Canis lupus familiaris: one gene and its partners. The protein of the gene in region 3 interacts with the protein of the main gene of each other region in a pairwise test. Links are inferred from orthologs where the notes say so. Each region holds a gene or a part of one and is shown on either strand. Other genes may lie near its edges.

Region 1 (7,294 bases), on a different chromosome or scaffold from region 3:
GTTGATTATCTTCTTTTTCCTAAAATGTATATATAAAGGAAACTTTATTTCTATTCATTTTAAATCTGGGTCACTTAAGCTAAATAGAAAGCAACTGAAAAAGGAATCTTATTAAATTTAGCTGGACAATTTGCCTGGTAGAGGCATTGAGCCCCAGGCCTACTCTCCCACTACTCAAAAGTGAGATTAAGTGCTAGCAAAATGGTAGGTTGTTACCAACCTAGCTTTCTTCTGGGTCATCATCAGTACACACGACTTGTGATCTCCAGTAAAAGGTGTTCTAGATGTAGGACTCTGTGCTTTCTGTTAGTGTCTAGCTGAAGGGCTGTTATATTTTCTGATAATATTTAGAATTAAAATAGAAACGTTTAAGACTATTTTTAAAAAACAAACATCTATATACAGAGATGAGGTCCAGAAGGTTATCACTCAATTGTCAAAGTTTACTGCTGGATTTTTGTGTGGAATAATTTCAGATTTATAGAAAAGTTGCAAAGATATTACAGACAGTTCTTGTATTGTCTGGTTCCTAATGTTACATCCCCCTGATCTTACATTACCATGGTACATTTGTAAAAGCTAAGAACCCAACACTAGTACATTACTGTCAGCTAAACTCTGAACTTCATTTGGGTTTCCCAAAATTTTCCATTAATGCCTTTTTTTTCCCCTTTAGTTTGAGGGTCCAACTTAGGATCCCATGTTGCATTTAGTCGTCATGTCTCCTTTGGTTTGTGACACTTTCATCTCCTCTTGATTTTCATGACTTTGACAGTCTTGAAGATGGCCAGGTATTTTGCTAAATGTCCCTCAATTGGAGTTTGTCTGATATTTTTTCCCCCACGATCAGATTCTGGTTAGGAGTTTTTGGAGAGAACATCACACGGGTGAAGTGTCCCTCTCATCACAGCAGTGGAGGCATGATGCATACATAACCTCTCACTGGCAACATTCAATTGTGGTCATCTATTATTTTCCAGATGGGATCTCTGTAAGTACCCTAAGAAATGTTCCAGATGCTGTGCCTGCTGTCCTGAGATCTCACCCCACTGGGCTTCACAAGGGATGGGATTTCCCTGATAACCGCTTCCCACCTTTTTGTCCTTTTGAGGAATTGCCAGTGTTTTCTAAAGTTGTTGCACTGTCTCACATCCCCACCAGCAGTGTATGAGAGGTTTTCTCCATATTCTCACCAACACCAGTATTACTTTTTTTTTAATTAATTAATTTATTTATGATAGTCACAGAGAGAGAGAGAGAGAGAGAGAGAGAGGCAGAGACACAGGCAGAGGGAGAAGCAGGCTCCATGCACCGGGAGCCTGATGTGGGATTCAATCCCGGGTCTCCAGGATCGCGCCCTGGGCCAAAGGCAGGAGCCAAACCGCTGCGCCACCCAGGGATCCCAGTATTACCTTTTTTGATTCTAGCCATTGCAGTGGGAATGAGGATACCTAGTGATATTTCGCTGTGATTCTCACTTGCATTTCCCTGATGACTAATGATGTCCAGCATTTTTTCATGTACTTGTTGGTCAAATGTATATTTTCTTTGGAGCCATGTTGATTCAGATCCTTTGCTCATTTTTAAGTTGGATTAGTTGTCTTTTTATTATTGAGTTATAAAAATTCTTTATATATTATGGATACAAATCTCTTTTTAGATAAATGATTTGCAAATATTTCTCCCATTCTTTTTGCTTTCCTTTTTTTTTTTAAAAAATATTTATTTATTCCTGAGAGAGAGAGAGAGGCAGAGATACAGGCAGAGGGAAAAGCACGCTCCACGCACTGAGCCCAATGCGGGACTTGATCCTGGGTCTCCAGGATCAGGCCCTGGGCCAAAGGTGGCACTAAACTGCTGAGCCACCAGGGCTGCCCTCTTTTCACTTTCCTGATGTGTCCTTTGCAGCAAAAAAAGTTTTAATTTTGATGAAGTCTAATATATCTGTTTTTCTCTCTTCAGGGCTTTTGGTGTCATAACAAAGAAAGCATCGCCTAATGCAAGGTCACAAAGATTTACATTTATGTTTTCTTTTAAGAGTTTTATAATCTAGCTCAGCTCTTATATTTAGGTACTTGATCTATTTTGAGTTAATTTTGTATACAGTGCAAGCTTCATTCTTTTGCAGGTGGCTATCTAGTTGACCTAGCACCCTATGTGGAAAGACTATTCTTTCCCCCACTAAATGGTTTGGTGCCTTTGTGAAAAATTAAGTGACCATATATGTAAGGAGTTGTTTCTGGATTATCAATTCTAAATTGTATATATTGATATTTTATTAATCTGTATGTCTATTGCAGTCCCACACTGTCTCAATTACTACATTTTTAAAAAATTTCATTTATTTATTAATGAGAGACAGAGACAGAGAGAGGGAGAGAGAGAGAGAGAGAGAAAGGCAGAGACACAGGCAGAGGGAGAAGCAGGCTCCATGCAGGGAGGGAGCCTGATGTGGGACTCGATCCTGGGTCTCCAGGATCAGGCCCTGGGCCGAGGGTGGTGCTAAACCCCTGAGCCACCTGGCCTCCCCATTACTATAGTTTTTAAAGTAAGTTTCAAAATTGGGAAATATGAGTGCTCTGACTCTGGTTTTCTTTTTTAAGACTGTTTTAGCTATTCTAGTTCCCTTGGATTTCCATATGAATTATAGGATCAGCCTGTCAATTTCTACAAAGAAACCAACTTGAATTTTGATGGGCATTGCATTTATCACTTTGTTTTTTGATGACACTTCAAATGAATATGCTATTTATGTTTATGCCATGAAATTTCGCTCCAATGGCAATGTGGTCCCAAGTTTTCCCATTAAACAATTAGAAAGCTTAAAATGACATGCTTATTTAGGACTTTACATACGAACACAGGCCTTTAGTTTCCTTAACGACTTTATTTCCAACAGTCGTTACTCAGTCATAAAAATCATCAAAATCATTGGCGGATGTGTTACGGTTTCTAGGACGTAAAGCAGCTTCAATTTCTGAGTTACTGTCATCAGACTCACCCCAGAAGGCTGGAAAAGAAAACCAGACAGCTATTTAACATCTCTCCACTCTGATCAGCTTGTCTTCAACAGCCAGACAAGGCCTGCAAAAGGCCTACCAGGGACATGGAGGGATGAACCCAACCACATGTGTCTGGAATGTGTGTCAATACTGCACAAATGCGAACATTTCAGTGTGTTCTATGGAAAACACTGCAGAATATTTCCTTCCCTTCTTGTGACCACCTCCTTACTGTAGGACGGGGGTTTAAGACCAGGGAACCATAGAAGCACAGCTAGCTAAGTATTTCATCAGACCGGGGACCACCTCAGCTCTGCTGCTCTGGCACTTTGATCTCCTCTGGTCTTCATAAGAGCAGATGAGAGAAGGGAAGATGTGGTGAAAGGAAAGAAGTGAGGTGCATACTGAGACCAGGCCTTGGGTGCACATAGCTTACTTGGGAGGTGATCCCTGGGAATGATGGGAGCAGCTAGAAGAGTGACACAGGAAGCAAGAGCCCACAGCGGGGTGGACAGTAGACAGGAGGCTCAGTCCTGAGGGTACCCTCTGAGACACTCAGAACTCTCCTCAAACTGTCCCAACAGAGCAAGGAAGTGGGGTTATTTCCCAACCTACTTCCACTTCTCATTGGTTGAGAGTTATTCTCAACCAGGGCACCCAGTCCCTGGCACTCTGGGCAGCCCCGTGGGGATGGTGCATGCTTCCAGGGCCAGAGAAAGCCCTCAGGCTGAGGCTAGCTGCCTGCAGTGGAAGGCCACGGCTGCCTGCAAACGGTGCTGCGATCTCCAAGATAGTAGGACAGAATGTGAGGGGGCATGGTCTGCTCAGTGACCATCTCCACGACCACTGTTATCTCCATGGGACTCACTGCCTGCCACTCTGTGATGATGGCTTATATTGAACCCCATTTCATCCTTGTACCAACCTGGGAAGGCAAGTATGACTGCCTCCATCAACTGAGCAAACAGGCGGAGAGGCTGTGACCACCCTGATCACAGCATTGGTGGGTGCTCCAGCCAGGAGTCCCATCCAGTATGTCTGACTTACACCTACACTCTCGATCAGGGCCCACTGGGAAGGGGGTCTAAGCAGACAGAGTAGGGGAGCCCAAGCTCCAAGGGATATGCCACAGCATTAGCATGCAAGGTGGAGGAGGTGCTCCCTGTGAGCTGAGGGTTCAGAGACGAATAGGGGCTCAGAGTGCGAAGGAAAAGGGTAGGAGCAGTATGAGGAAAGGCACAGAGGTACAAGTGTGGTATCCAGGCACACCTCATTTTCTCTGTGCTTTCAGAGATTGTGTTTTTTACAAATTGAAGGTTTGTGGCAACCCCACATCAGGCAAGCCTACTGGTGCCATTTTTCCAATAGCATTTGTTCATCTTGTGTCCCCGTCACATTTTGGTAATTCTCTCATTATTTCAAACTTTTCCATTATTATTTCATTTCATACAGTGACCTGTGATTAGTGATCATGACTCGCAGAAAGCTCAGATGACAGTTAGCATCTTTTAGTAATAAAGTGTTTTAAAAATTATTTTAAATTATGTTAATTAACATTTTTTTTAGACATAATGCTGTTGCATACTTAAGAAACTACAGTATAGTGTAAACACAACTTTTATAGGCACTGGGAGACCAAAAAATTTATTTGGTGTTATTACGATAATGGCTTTATTGCAGTGGTCTGGAACCAAGCTGCAATGCCTCCGAGGTATGTCTTTATTTGGAAAAAAAATGACTTAAGTCACGACCAGAAGAAGACAAGACCTTGCAAGGCACTGAGCTGGAAACAAGGGAAGGGATAGACTACAAGGGAGAAAGTTACAGACTCTATCCTGCACATAGTGGGGGACACCAGCAATTTTTAACCAGGAAGGTAAGAAGGTTCATTGAGGTTTTGGATGCTGGTGGCCAGGTAGAGGACAATCAGGACTTGGGGAGGGACTGGATATAAGGAAGCCAGTTAGTCTAATGCAAGAGCCCTGTCATGTCATGAGCAGTGGGTACTTGTGGGCACTCGCTGTGAGGTTGGGGACAGAGGCAAAAAACATTTCATAGGTAGAATATACCCGTGTTGACAACCAAGTGGATGTGGAGGCCAAGATACCCTGTGCTCATACTTGCAAATTAGAATGCTAAGCCATCGTGGCCCGTGGCCCCTCATGTGTCGTCAGGTCCCTGCCCTGCCACGGAAGAATGGTGCCTCGAGCAGCCCTCCCCTCCCCTCAGAAATGGGGAGGTGGAACGGCCCCCTGTGATCACAGGCACACTTCAGGCTCCTTACACGATGATGCAGAAAACAAATAGAAGGTCACAAACAACTCTTGATTAAAGCACAAAAGGAATCCTCTTACCTTTAGACTCTAAATTGGTAGTTAATTTCTTTTCGTTTTCATACCTGAAAGATAAAGAAATAGCCTAAGTCCTGAAAAAAAAATGACAATCAGACTGATATTTTTACAATGAGTGCATCAGCAAAGAAGCACGTACGATGCACGGAAAGGCCAGATATTTTATGTGTGCTCTCCAAGTCTTAAGAACAAGAAGAAAATGTCAGGACCACAGTGGCCAGAGGTGCTCGCTGATGCTTTGGGGGGTGGGTCCCTACTGTGACAGCATCACTCGTGTCCCTGAGCGCATTCCCTACTGGCTCTGCAGAGACCAGGTCAGTCTGTGCCTGCCGCTTGCAGCTAGACAACGAGGACATGGTCAGTGAGGCAGAGCACCGACTTCCCTCTGACAGCCCTCTAAAAACCACAAAATGCCAGAGCTTTGGCACTCTCAAACAAGCTAAAAGTCAAGTACCTGAAGTAGAGAATCCGGGATGGAATGCAAGAAGCTAGTGAGGAAGTGAAGACTCCTCTCCATCAAGCCAGTGATGGCAATCCTTAACAGCTTAGTAAGGGAGTGCAGAATAAACTCCCATTGTGCTTACAGAAATGCACTAAGGCACGGGAAAGAAAGACAAGGATCCCGGGCACCACTGTGTAAGTTTCTAGGTGTCACATGCACAAGATGCTAGTGTTTATGGCATCAAATACTAGCAATGTGGTCCTGGCAGGGTATCTGCTAGCATTTACATTTACAGATTATTTCATTAGAACAGATTCCACCCAGCCTTTTAGTTGAGTAGAATGAAGAAAACAGTTGCCAATGTGCACGGTCTGCTCCTGACCGGGACTCAGGTCCTCTTGACATAGGAAACACTGTTAACTCACCTTCTCCCTCCCTATGGCTAACCTGTGGCTTAAAAATCTGCTCTTTGCCATAGGTAATATTATTTATGTTTTTTCTTCTGTAAAATAAGCTCCAGTCAGGTTATTACTTTCTAGGCTCAATATCTTTCCACGCTTCCTTTAAACTTGGTACCTGTTTCATGATCTGCCATGACCACCTAGGGGCCGGAGCTATTTCCCCACGAAGAAGGGGCACCCCCATGGCCATCTGAGAGGGTCTGGCACTCACCAGCAGACATGGAGGTGGCAGAAAGGTGCTGCGCACATGGATCCATCTGACATGAAGTACTTAGCCTACACACCGCCCCCCCCCCCACACACATACACACTCTAAATGCAACTATTGTGTTGTGTGTCTACTGTTTACCTACTTCCCATTTCATGAGGACACTGGTCCAGAGGCGGAGGGCAGAGGTTGGTTATAACAATGCTGGTGGGGTACAGAGAGGATAATTTTCCAGCTGTAGCAAGGAGAGCTGCAGGGGGAGATGGGGAGAGAGCCAAGGGCTGGGAGAACTGTGAGAACAGAGTGGGTGGTAAGTGGCTGTAGGACCCCTGAGAAGGCAGGGTACCTCCTGGGCTCTGCTTTTAAAAGCTGAAGCAAACCTGGGACAGAGGAAAGGGGGATGCGGTGAGATGTGGTAGTGGAGCCCTTGGCAAGAGCAAGTGCAGAATAGCCAGTGAGCACAGGCCAGATCCCAGGGTGGAGGTTGGGGCAGCCACTTCTCGGAGCTCCAGAAACATGGCCAGGGCTCGCTCTACTTGGTTGCCTTCAAAGCGTCCTGTGGTCAACATGTCCATTCATGACCAAATTCACAATCTCCCCAGCGTGGTTCCCTTCTCCTGCCAGGCCAGGCCCCTCAAGTCTCTGTCAAAGGCACCTGGACCCTCTGTTCCCTCCCCAACTCCTTCTACTCCTGGACCCTCCTGCACCCAATCAAGGCCTACGTTCCACCAATTTATTTTCTAGTACTTCCTGAAGTCATTGCTCTTCCCTCTAGGCTGCCACCAACTATCCAACTACACCATCATCTCTTGCCTGGACCTTTGGAACAG
Region 2 (8,242 bases), on a different chromosome or scaffold from region 3:
AGTTCTGCAGGAGCCCCTCTCAGACATGGAAATGGATTGTGCAAAGTGGCGAGGAGTGTCACACCTGAGGAAGTCGGGTGCCCGCAGGATCATGTTCTGGAAGTCTTCCAGGGAGAGCCGCCCATCGTGGTCCCCATCGGCCTCATCTAGCACCTTCTCGCACACCAGGCTCACCTCCTCAGCGCTCAGCTCCCCTCGTGTCAGCTTGGTCACTGTCTGCTCCAGGTCCCATGCACAGATGTAGCCGTCATTGTTAAAGTCTGTGCAGTGGGATAGAGGGGATGTGGAGTGGGGGCACAGCTGGGGGTAGACAGGCCGGGCCTCTTGTCCCCTTGTTGCAGAGGAGGAAACTGAGGCACCGGAAGGAGCCCAAGACCCTGGGGTAATAGCTGGATCTTGCTTTAGAATTGGGCAGAGTCCTGCTGGGAGGTCATTCATTCCCCCCATAAGTATTTACTGAGGACCTACTATGTGCCGGGCATATGTGACTGTTTTTAATCTACAAGTATTTAGTGAGTGCCTACGATGTTCTAGGCACCGTGATAAAGTTTTGTTCATTTGACAAGCTTTTAGTGAGCACCTACTGAATGCTAGGTGCTGTGATAAATTTTCTGTCAGTTAGTCACACAATATTGAATGCCTACTTTTTCCCAGGCACGGAAGACAGATGGGGACAAAAATAGATACTCTTGCTGCCCTTGGGTTTCATCAGAGAGAAATCAGTATGAAGAGGAATGAAGCAGCACTGCTCCATGCTGGGAGAGGAAATAGGATGTGGGGTGTAGAGTGGTTGAAGGTGGAAGCTGCTTTTGACCTAGACTTCAAGGTAAGCAGGAGTCAAGGCAGAGCTGTTCCAGGCAGAGGGAACAGCAGATGCAAAGTCCTAGAGGGAGGAGGAGTTTGGGGAGCTGGAGGAAGAGAGAGGCCAATGTGGCTGGAAAGGAGTAAGGGGATGAGGTCAGCAAGTAGCAATATGGGGCGCAGGACAAGTCCATGCGGGGCCTCAAAGCCCCCTGGGGAGACATCTGTGACTGCAGGGCAGCTCCTGGCCCCACACCTGGTCTTGTTCCCACCCCCACCCCACCCCCATGTTCCCCTACCCCCGAGCTCTGCACACACCATAAATTTTAAAAGCATAGTAGGCTTTGAGGTCGCGGGGAGCCATTTCACTCATTACGGAAAACATGTCCAGGAAGTTGTCCAAGGTCATGTGGCCGTCCCCATCCTCAGAGAACACCTGGGCAATCCTCTGGCGGAACGGGTTGTCCTGGGGACAAGAAGCAGGGAGGGGACTCAGGGCACCATATGGGATCACTCTCAGCACCCACCTTCCTGAAACCTTCAAGTACCCCCCATCTGAAAACTTCCTCCCTCCCGCGGTCCCAGGAGAGGACTTCAGGCAACTCCTGCCTCTGCCCCTGTGATCTTGGTGGCCTTGACCCACTTCTGGTTCCGGATGCAGCCACCTGACTGGTTGAGGTCGATCAGAGGTCACTCTCCATTGACAACCGTGATTGACTCTGGGGGAGGCTGGGGGCGGGGGGCTCAAACTGGCCAGAGGCTGCCCTGGGATGGTTCCCGAAAGATGGAGGTGGAGGGATCTGCTTTCTGCTGGTCACAGAGTTGACCAGAGGAATCTGGGGCTGTTGGGGCTTCCCTTCACTACCTCAAGCAGACAGGCTGCCTGAGACTGAAGCCCCCTCCTGGGAGGAACTGGGAGGTGGAGGGAGACTCCCGAGCATGACCTCAGAGACCCTGGTTCCAGCTGTACCTGGCGCTAGCTCTGCCCCTAGAGTTTTTTCTCCTGTGTTCCATTATATTTCATCCCTCTCGAATGAGGTTTCTGTCCCTTGTGATAAAATCATCTCTACTCAGTCACTCACCCCACAAGTCACCTTTTGGCAACACAAACTACATGACAAACATCCAGCAGAAAAGAACCTGCTTTTTTAGTGGCTCTTGCCATGAGAAGCAGAACTCCCATTCCCTGAGCACTTGCCATGCAATAGGCCCTGTGCCAAGTCCTTTACCTGCACTATCTCATCTCATCGTTCGGACAACCCCAGGTTTGAATCCTGTCTCTGTCACATCCTAGCTGTGTGACCATGACCAAATGTCTTAACCTCTCTGAACCTCACTCACTTCTTTCATCTGTAAAATGTATCCGCTTCATAGGAATGCAGCAGGGAGCATCTCTATTTTCCCCCTCCCTACCCCATGGCCCACGCACACCTTCAGCTCGGGCATGCTGCTGATGAGCTCGTAGGGCACCTTCACATCAGGACAGCTGGTATAGTCGAGGGGGACAAGCTGGGGAGCCAGGTCCTGGTAGCGATAGAAGAGCCTGGTGTGGGGAGGGAAACACCAGGAAAGGCTGGGAGATGGGGTGGGAAGGGCTTTTCCCTTTTCTCTCATTCTTGCAGCTACTCGCTACACATCATGGGTGCCCAAGAGTCATCAGCTCTAGGCCCAGCCCTCAGGCACACAGAGCCGAACACAGACACATGTACCCCCTGGGGACAGGGCCAAAGTGGATAAAGGACCCCAGAGCTAGGGGAGACTTGAGTGAGGACACTGGTACTGGGCTTTGAAGAATGAATAGGAGCTGACCAGGCAGGTGGGGACAGCAAAAAGGAGAGTGCTTAAGGCAAGATCATTGCACGCCAAACATTCAGAGAATCTGAGTGAATCTATGAATCCTGGATATTATCACAATGTTGGCAAGACTCTGCCTCTAAAGACTCCCTATTCTCACATTTTCCTCTCATCCCAGAATGTGAGGGTTCTCTAAATGGGGAGAGCAGAGACAAAGGCCAATATTCAGGATTTTTTTTAATGCATGCAAGGCATTTTGCAAAACACCAAGTGCCACCCCCACTACCTAGATTGTGAGGCCAGCTCTCCACTCCAATGTCCTCCCTGCTGATGCTCTATTTTCACCAGAGGCATGAGGCTAGGCAGCCTGGTAGAGACCATGCTTGGTGAGTCAGAGGTCCCCAAGCTGCTAGGGGTTGTTTCTGAGAGAGATGAGGAGCTCTTTGGGAGCTCTTTGGACCCAAGGGCTCCTTGGGTCATATGATGGCTAGGAACTCAAGAATGGGGTATCTGGAATTTAAACCCTGACCACCCAGTTCTCTGCCCAGGCTGCCTCATGGAACAGCCTGGGTTTGGGCTTCTGTATGGCCTTGAGCATGTCCTTCTTCCCCTCTGAGCTTCGTTATTATGCTGCCAAATAAGAAGCTCATGATGGACAAAACACCAGCCCTCAAGTTCCTTGGAGCTCTGCCCATTTGCAGAGCTGGGGCCAGCTCCCCTGTCCAAACCTCAGTTTCCCCATCAGTAATCTGATCATAATGGCCAGGATGACCCTACGAGCTGTCCTCACCCAGACAATGGGGCTCACTGGTGAAAGGTGTGCCCATCAATAATGGATATCCCATGCCCACACAATTGGGGCCTTGGCCCCTATCACTCTGTATCTGAACCCCAGCCAGCTTGGGTTTCACAGCTCCAAGTTCATCGGTCGGGGCCTTTGGACAATGGCCCCAGGCTGAGCAGTAATGTGGGATACTCATGTATGCCTCTCTCGCTCACACAAGCGACCTGCAGCAGCATCAGGCTGCCTACCCACACCCTTACCTTGGTGCCACCCCCACAGCCCAGAGATGACTCTAGACTCTACCCCCAGGTTCCCAGCCTCCAGTCCCAGCCTCTTTACACTGGGCTCAGGGGATCTTTCTAACATGCTGATACGTCTCCCCCCAACTCTCCAACCCCGGTCACATATTCTCCATGGCTCCGCACAACCCATGGGAGAAAGCCCAAGCTAATCAACCTAGAGACTGTGACAATATGACAGGATGTGGCTTCTCATCGTCCCCATCTCTGCCTCCATCCCCTGACCATGCCTGCAATCCCCCCCTTTGCATTTTAACCACCATGAGGCACTCAGTCCTGTCCAATTGCAAACATCCTCCAGCAACGGATAGAAAATGGTCCTAGGTCTTCCTCTCTTTCTCCCCAGACCGACCTCATGATTTCCTTTCTCGTGAAGAAGGTGCAGTCCTGCGGAGAGAGATGTTGACTTGGCCCAGAGCCTGCCTCAGGGGCTTCCTTCCTCTCCCTCTCCCTGCATGCCCATCTCTGCCTGATGCTGCATGCAGAGCTGCACCAGAAACCCTTGCTGACTGCACAGCCAGGACAAATGATGCTGTCCCCACTTCGCAGGCCGGGGAAACCAAGGCTGCTAAGCCTACTGAGGGCCTAGCCCATCACCCCTACCTGATATGCTTCCAGCTGCTCATGAGTGAAGACTGTCTGCTTGTTGCCCATGGGAAAGACCACTGCCGGGACTCAGGAACAAGCCCCCAGTCTTCTCAGAGCCACACGGGTTGCCAGGCTGCTGCACATCAGCGTCTGGGCAAATATCCCTGCCCTGGCCGTCACCTGCCCACCTGCCCTGTCACCCCCAGCCTGGGTGAGATCAAGTTACAGCTGAGCTCTCTGGGCAATAGCCTGAGTATGTCCATGGCCACCAGGACAAGAAGGACTGTCGGAGGTCACAGAACAGCAGACCATGTCTGCCACGACTGGGTGAGGCTGAAGGCATGGGGCACCTTCCAGAGCCAGGCAGGGTGATGAAGAGACTGCAACATATCCCAACTCAAATACCAGTTCTCCACCCAGTAGCCTTGTGCCTTAGACAAGTCACCTGGTCTCTCTAAGCCTCGTTTGTAAGATGGAAGTTATATTAGTACCCAACTCATCAAGTTGCCCTAAGACCAAACAAGATCATTAATGCAACCAAAAAACCCCCAATTTTTTGATATTGGGTATGAGCCAGTTTTAGGCACTGGGAGCATAATAACTGGGTGAAAGAGATAAATGAGGTCCCCAGGTGTGCATTGGAGATGATGATGATGATGATGATGATGATGATGATGATATGACTTAAGAAAAGTGATCCAAGGTATAAGTTTGAGAAACAATCAGTTAAATGATACCAAACAGAATTCTTTATTGCAGGACTTGTCAGAGCCTTTAGCATGCTGATGTTCACCATGCATCCTCAATGGGTAGGTACAATGTAGTAGCTGCCAACTTTATTAAGACCCAGAATCCTTTTGGGCAGAACACCTAAAGGTCAAAAATCCTTTAACCCAGTGCTCTATGCTTGTCTTGTTCTGGATCTCTCCTGTCTCTCCACTTTGTTCTCCTGCTCAGCCTTTTCCAGTGCCACACTCCAGGCCCCCTAAACTGCTCTTGGATCTTCCCTTTCCCTCATCCCCACTCGTTCTGGTCTGGACGATCACAGTTCCTCCCATTCTCATCAACCCTCCTCAGCCCCAGTCTGTGAAGTCATCTCGTAGAATGTAACTATGATCAGGCTTCAAACACCCCCTTAGGATGATTTTTTTTTAAAAAAAACTGACAATATCAAGTGTTGGAGAGGATGTGGGGCAACTGGAACTTTCATTAATTGCTGATGGTGATGCAAAATAGTTTAGCCACTCTGGAAAATGGATCAGAACTTTCCTATAGTTAAACATATACTTACCACATGACTCAGCCATCCCACTCCCGAGTAGTTACCCAAGGAAAATGAAAAGATCTATGGGCACACAAAAACATGTACATGCCCACAGCATGAAGAAAATACTTGCAAATCATATATCTGATAAGGGACTGATCTCTAGAATATATAATGAACTCTAATGAGACTACAATAAAAAGACAAATTGCACAAATTTTTAAAAATGGGCAAAGATTGGGGGGGGTGAATAGATGGAACACAGGATTTTTATGGCAGTGATTTTTTTTTAAAGTAAGCTCCACACCCAGCATGGGGCCCAATGCGAGGGTTGAACTCATGATCCTGAGATCAAGGCCTAAGGTGAGGTCAAGAGTCAGATGCTTAACCAACTGAGCCACCCAGATGTCCCTTTGGCAGTGAATCTACTCTGTATGATACTGTAATGGTGGATACATGCATTATACATTTGTCCAAAACCATGGAAGACACAATACCAATAGTGAACCTTAATGTAAACTTTAGATGATATGATGTGTCAATGTAAATTCATCGCGTGTAACAAATGCACTAGTCTTGTGGGGGATGTTGGTAATGGGGGAGGCTGTGGGTTTGTGTGTGGGGGGAACAGAAAGCACATGGGAAATCTCTGTACCTTCTGCTCCATTTTGTTGTGAACTAAAATTGCTCTAAAAATAAAGTCTATTAAAACAAAACAGAACAGGTAAGGGATTTGAGTAGACATGTCTCCAAAGAAAATATACAAATGGCAAATAAGTATATGAAAAGATGCATAACATCATTAGTCATTAGGGAAATGCAAATCAAAACTACAATGAGATATTACTTCACACCCACCAGGATGCCTATAACAACAACAACAACAACAACAACAACAACAACAACAACAACAACAAAAAGACAGACAATAGCAAGTGTTGGCCGGGATGTGGAGATACCGGAACCCTCATACACCACTTGTGGGAATGTTAAGATGGTGCAGTTGCTTTGGAAAGCAGTTTGGCAGTTCTTTAAAAGGTTAAACATAGGGACACCTAGGTGGCTCAGCTGTTGAGTGTCTGCCTTCAGCTCAGGGCATAATCTTAGGGTTCCGGGATCAAATCTTGCATCAGGCTTCCTGCGAGGAGCCTGCTTCTCCCCCTGCCTAAGTCTCTGCTTCTCTCTGTGTGTCTCTCATTAATAAATAAATAAAATCTTAAAAAAAGATTTTATTTATTTATTCATGAGAATACACAGAGAGAGAGAGAGACAGAGGCAGAGACACAGGCAGAGGGAGAAGCAGGCTTCATGCAGGGAGCCCAATGTGGGACTTGATCCCGGGTCTCCAGGATCAGGCCCTGGGCTGAAGGCAGCACTAAACCGCTGAGCCACTCAGGTGCCCAAAATCTTTTTTTTTTTTTAAAGATTAAGCATAGAGTTACCATATGACCAGCAATTTTACTCCAAGCTGAACATAACTGAAAATATGTCCACTTAAAAACTTGTATGTGAATGTTCATAGCAACATTGTTCATAATAGCCCCCAAAGTAGAAACTACCCAAATGATTGTGGTCCATTCGTACAATGGAATATTATTCAGTCATATAGAGGAATGAAGTCAGGGCACCTGAGTGGCTCAGTGATTGAGTATCTGCCTTTGGCTCAGGTCATGATCCCAGGGTCCTGGGATCGAGTCCCGTATTGGGCTCTCTGCAGGCAGCCTCCTTCTCCCTCTGCCTATGTCTCTGCCTTTCTCTGTGTGTTTCTCATGAATAAATAAAATAAAATCTTAAAAAAAAAAAAAGGAATGAAGTCCTGATACATGCCACAATGTGGATGAGAATTTAAAACATCATGCAGAATGAAAGAAGTCAGACACAAAAGGCCACACAGTGTGTGGTTCCATGTATATGAAACTTCCAGAATAGACAAATCCATAGAGACAGTGAGCAGATGAGTGGTTGCTAGGGGCCGGGGGAGGGGGACAGAGAGTGACTGCTCATGGGGATGGGGGCTTCCTTCTGGGGTTGCTAAAAATGTTCTGGAACTAGGTAGTGGTGATGGTTGCAAAACTCTGTGAAGGTGATAAGTCTCACCTCATTCTAAAGGGTGACTTTCATGATTTGTGAATTATATCTCAGTTTTATTTATTTATTTTTTTAAAGATTTTTTATTTGTTCATGAGAGACACAGAGAGAGAGGCAGAGACAAAGGCAGAGAAAGAAGCAGGCTCTCTGTGGGGAACCTGATGCGGGACTCAATCCCGGGATCCTGGTATCACGACCTGAGCCAAAGGCAGACGCTCAGACACTTAACTGCTGAGCTACCCAGGGGCCCTATATCTCAGTTTTTAAAAATATTTGTTCATAAAGAATGACTGCAACTTTATGCATAATTACTAAAAACTGGAAACAACACAAATGTTCTTCACCTGGGGAATGGTTAAACAGACTGAGTTCCATCCATACAATAGACTACTACTCAGCCATAAAACAGAATGAACTACTGATATACACAAAAGGAATGAACCCCAAATGCGTTATGCTAACTGAAAGAAGCCAGACTCAAGAGACTACCTATTGGATGATTCCATTTATATGACATACTCAAGAGGACAAAACTGTAGGGACAGTAAACAGATCAATGGTTGCCAGGGGCTGCAGATGGGGAGCAAGGGAATCTTAGGGGTGATGAAACTGTCTTATATTTTG
Region 3 (7,442 bases):
TCTAGAAAGAGCTCCCTCCTGAGAAGCATACTCAGGAAGAGATCACCACGAAGGTGCAGGTACTCACCAAGGAACTCCCGAACTGTTCCAGGTAGTCCACCTCAGCTCCCGTGCCTAGGACTGAGAGGCATAGGGTCAGGGCAGCCGTTACTGGCCCATGTGGGCGGGTCCTGCTGCTCAGGCACAGCAAACAGTAGCCCAGTGCTTCCCGCCCTGCAGCACTGAGGCTAGGACAATCCCTTTCCCTGCCTAGCCTGGACCTGCAGCCAACAATTCTGTGCTTTGTAGCGGGGTTTCTGGTCTCACGCTAATGACTCCTGGGGCCAGGGCACTTTGTGGGGTTGTCTTGTGTCCTGCAGGAGCTGAACAGCTTCGCTCCAGGCATGATGACCAAGTGTCCCCAGGACCAAACTGCCGTGGTTAAGAACTACTGTTTAACTGATTGATTGATTGATTAATTAATTAATTCATGAGAGACACACACACACACAAAGAGGCAGAGACACAGGCAGAGGGAGAAGCAGGCTCCATGCAGGGAGCCTGATGCGGGACTCGATCCCAGGTCCCCAGGATCACACCCTGGGCTGAAGGCGGTGCTAAACCGCTGAGCCACCCGGGCTGCCCAAGAGCTACCGTTTAGAACTACCCTAGAGAGTCCCTCGATTCCTGGTAACTTATATATATACACACACACACACACACACACACACACACACATATATACATGTTTAAAAAAAATCTAAGGGTGGCTAACATCATCTATGAAAATTAACTCAAAATCAAATGTAAATGTTACAATTGTAATGTTTTTAGAAAATGTAAGGGTAAATCCTTACGGTATTGACTTCACACCAAAAACACAAAGAAAAAAAACAAAAAAAGAGATAAACGGGACTTCAGGTTAACGTCTGTGCCTCAAAGGACACCATCGGGAGGGAGGAAGCCCACAGGATGGTAGACGGTTCCCTCCATGTCACACGTCTGGTAAGAAGTCCCCACCTATGATAGATCCAAAGGCCCTGACGACTCAACAATAAAAACGCAACAGTGGAACAGCAGGGGAAGGACCAGAGCAAACACTCTGCAGAAGGTCTGAAAGGCACAGGAAAGAGGCTCGTCACCAGGAAGATGCAGGTCAAAACACGCGGAGGTGCACCTGGCCCCCTGCACTCCCACCCTGGATGGCTGGAATCGGGTCACAGTGGCCCCGGGGGCGACAAGGCCTAGAGAAATTGGGACCCTCAAACACTGGTGCCCTGAGATCCTTATGTGCTGCAGCCACTTTAGAAAGCACCCTGGTGGTTCCTCAGTTTCACCCAGAGTTACTGCATGACCCAGATCACTTTCTAGGTTTATGCCCAAGACAACAGAACCCTCACAGACACATGAACACATGTATGTGAGAGCTCACAGCAGCCTTCAAATCGTCAAAAAGGACAAACAACCCCGACGCCCATCAACGGGTGGACTGATGTGCCAACTATGGCCCATCTGCGCGGTGCCGCGCTACCCGCCAGGAAAGGAAATGCTGATGTTGTGGTACAAGGTGTAGGACTCTAGAAAACCTGATGCGCAGGAAGACAAACCAGACATGGGACTCACAGGACTCCGGGGTCTCCGTGGCTTCTGTGCCACAGTGGTGAGAGCCCTGGGATCATTCCTCCACAGACCAACCCTGCATTCCATTTCCACTCTTCTCTAGGTGTGCAGGTTAAATAGGGAGCCCATCATGTTGCCTTACGGCTCTTGAGGCAGTTCAATTCCAGATTCCCCCTGGAACCACCTCAGGGCCTGCTGCGTCAGAGAGGTCAGAGGTGCTTGTGCCCCATCTAGGCTCCCCTCCAAAAGCATTTCCCCCAGAACTGGCAAGGCCCCACCCATGAATATGCAGTGCAGAGCCACATCCCCACCCCCAGCCCGCTTTCCTGAGCCCAATTTCTGGCCCCAGGACACCTTCACATTAGGGCTACATCCTGAGAGCATCCGTCTCCTGAGAAACCAGTGACCTCTGGGCGCCTTGCTTCAAGTCACAGCACGGAGTCTCCAGAAAAACACCTCTAAACACCAGTGCTTGGAGCAGTGTCCCGGTGGTGGGGACAGACAAGTGACCTGGGGACAACATACCCTCAGTGGGGTCTCGGAAGCACTCCTCCTTGGGGTCTGAGGCTGGCTCCGGGTCCTGTGGAGGACCTCCCAGGCTGCCTGCTGGAGCGGATGCCCCTGCGCGCTCTGCTGCTCCCTCCTGCAGGAAGGCCGGCTCAATTTGGGCAGCTTGGGCACCAGAGGTCCCGTGTGGGACCCGTGTCTCCCCCAGTCTTGGTGGGATAGGGGTGTGTAGGAGGCTCTGGGTGCTGCTCTGCGTCCCACCCCATCTCCACCAGCCTCCCTCTGCCCAAGGACCCACACAACGGAGGCATGGGCTGTGCTCGTGGCCCTACCTCACCCACCGTGCCTGGGGTCCCTGCCGCCGTCTGCACCTCATGTGCGTCCTCTGCCGAGGCTGTAGGCACCTGCCTGAAGAGATGGGGTCAGCAGGGCCTGTGCCCTAGCCTGGAGCTGCCTCATGAAGACTCGCCTGAGTGGCAGGGCCACCCCTCCCTACCTCAACTGCCCAAGAATCCTGTGCTCATGGGACTCGGCCAGGAGCTCCCAGGCTGAGTCTGCTCTGGGAGCCATCCCCAAAGCTTCACTGGTCCTGTTTCATTAGGACATTGGCAAACATGCTTGGGGGAGGGTCACCAGTTACCAGGGCCAGAATCCTCCCTAGCCGGACTGCTAGCCCCAACATGTACCTGCAGCTTGTTGGTGGGACAAGTGGCTGGGCACTGGCTAAGCTCCTCTTGGGACCCAGCACTCAGTGGCCACTAAGCAGCCATCCCCAGAGAGCACCATGAGAGGGCCAGAGCACCCCAGAAAGCATGGAGAGCCGCTCCACTGGCTCTCGGACTACAGACAGAATTCGCTAGAGAGCTTTCTAAATTTCCAGTTTTTTTTTTATAGACAATGCCCTTAGCAAGCATGTGGATAGCCCCACCCCTGTGGAGGGAACGGAACGGGGCTCCGCCATGGATGCTCCTCCACGATCTACAGTGGCTGTGAGCACCCTCCCCGGTCTTGGGATCCAGGACCAGCATGCCTCTGCAGCCTATGTGTGCCCCAAGACCCCTTCTCGGGGGCATGTATGTGCATCTCTGGTCTGTGGTCCTCTAGCGTGCACACTACCAAGCAGCTAGCTACTCCCCCACCACCAAGTACTCACTGGCTCAGAGGGGAGTACCCTGTGGCCTCGGGACCAGCATGCAACTTCTTGGCCATAGGTCCAGCTGGCCTGCTCTGGGGGCTTTCTGGGGGCTGGGCCTCTCTTCCACCTTCAAACGGGTTAAAGTCTGGGTCATCCAGCTTGTTCCAGTCCAGGTTGTAAGACCCCCGGAGAAGAGGAATGGGCTCCTCATCCGCCTCCTTGGGTGCATTTTCCTGTCTGGCCTCTGATACCCCGGAAGGAGGTTTAAGGCTGGGTCTCTCCCCCAGTTCCCTTTTGCTGGTGGCATTGTCAGAGAAATCAAATTCTAGCCTTATAGGTCTGTTGCTCCACGAGCTGACCCTTTGGTCATCAGCTTCTTCCTTCTGAGGACTTGGGGATGGGGCCCCTCTAGCCTTCAGAGGGCTGGCCAGGATGGTGTTCCTAGGACCAAAGGGGTCCTCAGGGCTGGCTGGGGCCTTGCCAGGCAGGTCTGCGAAGGGTCCTTCTGCACATGCTTCTGTAGGCTGAGTGCCAGGTGGCCAAGTAGCCCCGGATGAGGATGCAGGGACCTGGTTTGAATTTTCTCTGGCAGCTCTGTGAGGGTCTTCTGTTCTGTCTTGGGGAGCCATCTGGGAAGAGTCTTCTAGGATTTCAGAGGTGGATATAATACTTTTCTCTAAGAAATAAGAACGAACACTTTCCTCCAAGGCTTGCTCAGGGCTCACAGACGTTTGTCCTAGAGAAGCCACTTGATTTTCAAGACTTTCTGGCATCTGGGGAGAGCTTGAGGGATCCAGGCTGGCCAGGTGAGTGGAGGTGGGCCCACTGGAATGCCGCCTATCTTCAGAGACTGCTCTCACATCCCCAGGAGGGGGGTTGGCATTGGTCATCATTGGTTTCTGGAGAATTCCATTGGTCATTTTGAGGTCAACCTCCTTTGTAAGCTGTTGACTTTTTAGAAACAAATTTAGTTAATATTAAGGAACCTATTAGCTTTTTAATTATAATTCAGTCCACGAGAACACGTTAGTTACAAACAGGAAAGAGGAATGTTCAATCAACACTCTTTTTAGGATTAACTTTAGCAAGTATGTGCTCATAAATCAAAGCTGGTGGGCCAACTAGATCACACAAGTTTTGTTTGTTCGTTTTAAAGTTTACTTATCAGGTAGAGAAAGACAAGGAGAACAAGTGATCACAAGCAGGGGGAGGTGCAGAAGGTAAGGGAGAAGCTGACTCTGTTGAGCTAGGAGCCCAATGCAAGGCTCGATCCCAGCACCCTGGGATCATGGCCTGAGTTGAAGGCAGAAGATTCACCAGTTGAGACCCCAAACACCCCTAAATCACACAGATTCCTAAGAGATATAGTACAGATGTGACAAATAATTAATCAGTTAAGGTTTTCTGTGCTAGCTGATTTCCCCCTTTCAGGTAAGGGCCACTAGCTACACAGTCAGGAACAGGGCACAAGAAGGTCAAGATTTTCACCAAAGAGAAAGGCAAGATCGAGAGCTCTGCCTTCTGACAGAGCAGGGTTTGACACTGAGAACACCCAAGGCTGGCTTGCAAGTAGAAAGGAGTCCCTATTGGGTGTGAATAAAGAACCATAACCACAGAGCATCCTTCCTTGGAGTTGTGATCAGACATTTCATGAAATTAGAGAAACAAAACCCAGGCCAATCTGCTGGCAAAGGCACAGTAAAGGAGTGGAACATAAACTTATTTGGGGCACTTGGTGGCTCAGTCTGATTTGAGTTCATCTCAAAAGTTGAGTGTTTAACTCTTGAATTCAGCTCAGGCCGTGATCTTAGGGTATGAGGTGATCTCAGGGTGTGAGGTTGAGGTTCTCTCTCCTTCTCACTCTTCCCCTCCCCACTCCTGCTCTCTTTTAAAATATATAAAGACCTTAAAAAAAAAAAAAACCCAACAAAAAACCCCTTAAACTTTGTTCTGTATTTTTCGTCATTTGCTTTTCTACTAACAAATGACCTCTAATGCAAGCGAGCCAGGCAACACACTGCACGAGCTCAGAGCAGAAACTAGGAGGAACTCAACCAGATGTGACTGAGGACAAAACAATTTTCCTGCCACATCCCCTGGAGGGGTTACAAATTGCAGCACATCAGGGAAACCTGGGTGGCTCAGTGGTTGAGCATCTGCCTTGGGCTCAGGTCATGATCCCTCTGCCTACATCTCTACGTCTCATAAATAAATAAGATCTTTATTTTATTTTTCAAAGATTTTATTTATTTATGCTTGAGAGACACACAGAGAGAGGCAGAAACACAGGCAGAGAGAGAAGCAGGCTCCATGCAGGAAGCCCGATGTGGGACTTCGATCCTGGGACTCAGGGATCATGCTCTGAGCCAAAGGCAGATGCTCAACCGCTGAGCCACCCAGGTGTCCCTAAATAAGATCTTTAAAACAACCAACCAAACCAAACAAACTGCAATACATCAAGCAGCATCAGCAACTTACTTCTCTTTCTGGATCCGGTTTTGAGGAGAGTTTTCTAACCCAAAAGCATCCTCCAGAGCAAAAGGAGCCTCGAGCTTGCTGCTCATGCCAGGACTTAATATCCGATGTGTCTGTGGGTCCCGAAGAGGAGTCTGAAAAGTCACCTGTTGGGAGAAGAGACCTGTTCAATAATTCAAGTCTTGAGCAACTCTGCCGGCAGTGCCCTGCCCACTTCCCTAAGTCCCCAGGAAAGCAAGTCCCAGGGTGATCGAAGGCGTGACACACAGTAGTTAACAGGGGCAAAACATGCTTACTTTCATAGCTTTGACTACGCTCTTGGGTGGCACATTTTCTTTTTGTGACAGACGAAGAACAGATAGTCTTCCAGTAAGTTCCGGTGGTGAAAACAGGAACTCATGGTTTTCTGTACTTTTGTCACCAGTGACGTTTTCATCGTTGCAGATCTGCAGACTCATTCTGGAAAAGCAGACACTTTGCGTCAGTGGGAGGGCTGTGCAGTTTGGATGAATGGCCAGTGCAAGAAGCTGGCCTCACATGGGAGATGTCCCCTTCCTGCACAGGTGGGTCCCATCTCAGGCAGCATGTCCTGGGCCAGACAGTCCTTGTCCTATTTTAGGGCAGCTGTCACTTCTCAAGAAAAGAGGTTTAAGGGCCCTCAGGCCGTAAAGGGAGGAAGAAGAATCAGGTCCTGAAAACCACTGGGGTTTAGTGGTGAAGGTCAGGAGACAGGGGTGCTGGGCTGTTGGAAAGCCTGGGTCTCCCCTCAGGCCTTTGCTTAAGGAACAGGCCACAGCACAGCTCCAGCAGGCTGCTAAGTCAGCTGAGCGCAAGAAACAGAAGAGTGCTGTGGCTTGCTCTCCCATCACAGGCTGGGAAACAGAGAGCACCCTGGGGGCTCATGAGGGCCCAGCCCCAGAGAAAGAGCTGGACAAGGCACCAACCAGCAAAATGCAGCATGACTTGATGGGGACTACACTGAGACCTGGAGTCTAGAAACATGCACCAGTGACCTACACAGAGGCCCAGAATGTTCTAGAACAGCCCCCACTCCTCCTTCCCCAAGGTCCTCATGATGGTCACGTCATCAGTGTGACACTCCCAAGCCAGGAGTCACCAGAGGACCCATCTGTGGGAGTATCACAGGTGTTTCTGGTGTTGGGGATGCTGGAGACTGCAGCTTGAGGAGCCAGGCCAGGGCAGCTGGGGCAGAGGAAGGAGGCTGGCCTGGAAAGAGGTGAGTCAGGGTAACAAGATGCCCTGGCAGGAATGTGGAGGCCAGGGAAAGGGAGGAGGGAAGTAGGGGGTCCTAGGCTTCTGCAGCCAGCCAGGGGTGCAGTTGTCGGCCCTGGCTGGCCAGCAGGCCTCTAAGGATGTGGAAGCTGGAGTGAAACACAACTCAAGGGGAATTCTTTTTTGGTGTGACCTGGGTAAAGCAGAAAGGAGCTGGATGGCTGTGGGATACGTGAGGAAGGGGGTAAACAGCCCCCGCGGTGCCTGGGTTCGACCTCCACCCACAGCGGGGAGACGGCTCCGGAGCAGAGGCGGCCAGGCCAGGCAGCCCCGGAGCACAGGAGGTGGGTGCAGGAGCCGCCCCAGCAGGTGGGGAGGATCGGTAGCACCGGGAGGGCTGGGCAGCTGCAGTCAGGGAGGCTCGCAGGTGCAGCGTGGAGGGAATAGTAGGAAGCTGCCCCCAAAGGCTGCGGATTGGGGTCCAGTGGTGGGA

What was found.
Region 1: the proteins of TACC3 (region 3) and KIZ interact in binary tests that used the Homo sapiens proteins (3 or more experiments, as listed by UniProt). The two-hybrid records come from large-scale screens. The link is inferred for Canis lupus familiaris from reciprocal best matches to the Homo sapiens genes TACC3 and KIZ.
Region 2: the proteins of TACC3 (region 3) and CIB3 interact in binary tests that used the Homo sapiens proteins (3 or more experiments, as listed by UniProt). The two-hybrid records come from large-scale screens. The link is inferred for Canis lupus familiaris from reciprocal best matches to the Homo sapiens genes TACC3 and CIB3.

What each region holds. Positions count from the first base shown.
Region 1 is NC_049245.1:2,556,353-2,563,646, forward strand, and holds the end of KIZ (centrosomal protein kizuna), read right to left. Parts: intron 5,401-7,294; coding exon 5,357-5,400; intron 3,011-5,356; coding exon 2,907-3,010; 3' UTR 2,868-2,906; downstream 1-2,867. UniProt on the Homo sapiens protein: Centrosomal protein required for establishing a robust mitotic centrosome architecture that can endure the forces that converge on the centrosomes during spindle formation. Required for stabilizing the expanded pericentriolar material around the centriole.
Region 2 is NC_049241.1:46,719,713-46,727,954, reverse strand, and holds the start of CIB3 (calcium and integrin-binding family member 3), read right to left. Parts: upstream 4,333-8,242; coding exon 4,282-4,332; intron 4,066-4,281; coding exon 4,031-4,065; intron 2,345-4,030; coding exon 2,233-2,344; intron 1,268-2,232; coding exon 1,120-1,267; intron 261-1,119; coding exon 65-260; intron 1-64. UniProt on the Homo sapiens protein: Acts a an auxiliary subunit of the sensory mechanoelectrical transduction (MET) channel in hair cells. Plays a role in regulating hair cell MET channel localization and function.
Region 3 is NC_049224.1:62,904,536-62,911,977, forward strand, and holds part of TACC3 (transforming acidic coiled-coil-containing protein 3), read right to left. Parts: intron 6,176-7,442; 5' UTR 6,175-6,175; coding exon 6,013-6,174; intron 5,863-6,012; coding exon 5,720-5,862; intron 4,193-5,719; coding exon 3,260-4,192; intron 2,515-3,259; coding exon 2,439-2,514; intron 2,243-2,438; coding exon 2,125-2,242; intron 121-2,124; coding exon 68-120; intron 1-67. UniProt on the Homo sapiens protein: Plays a role in the microtubule-dependent coupling of the nucleus and the centrosome. Involved in the processes that regulate centrosome-mediated interkinetic nuclear migration (INM) of neural progenitors.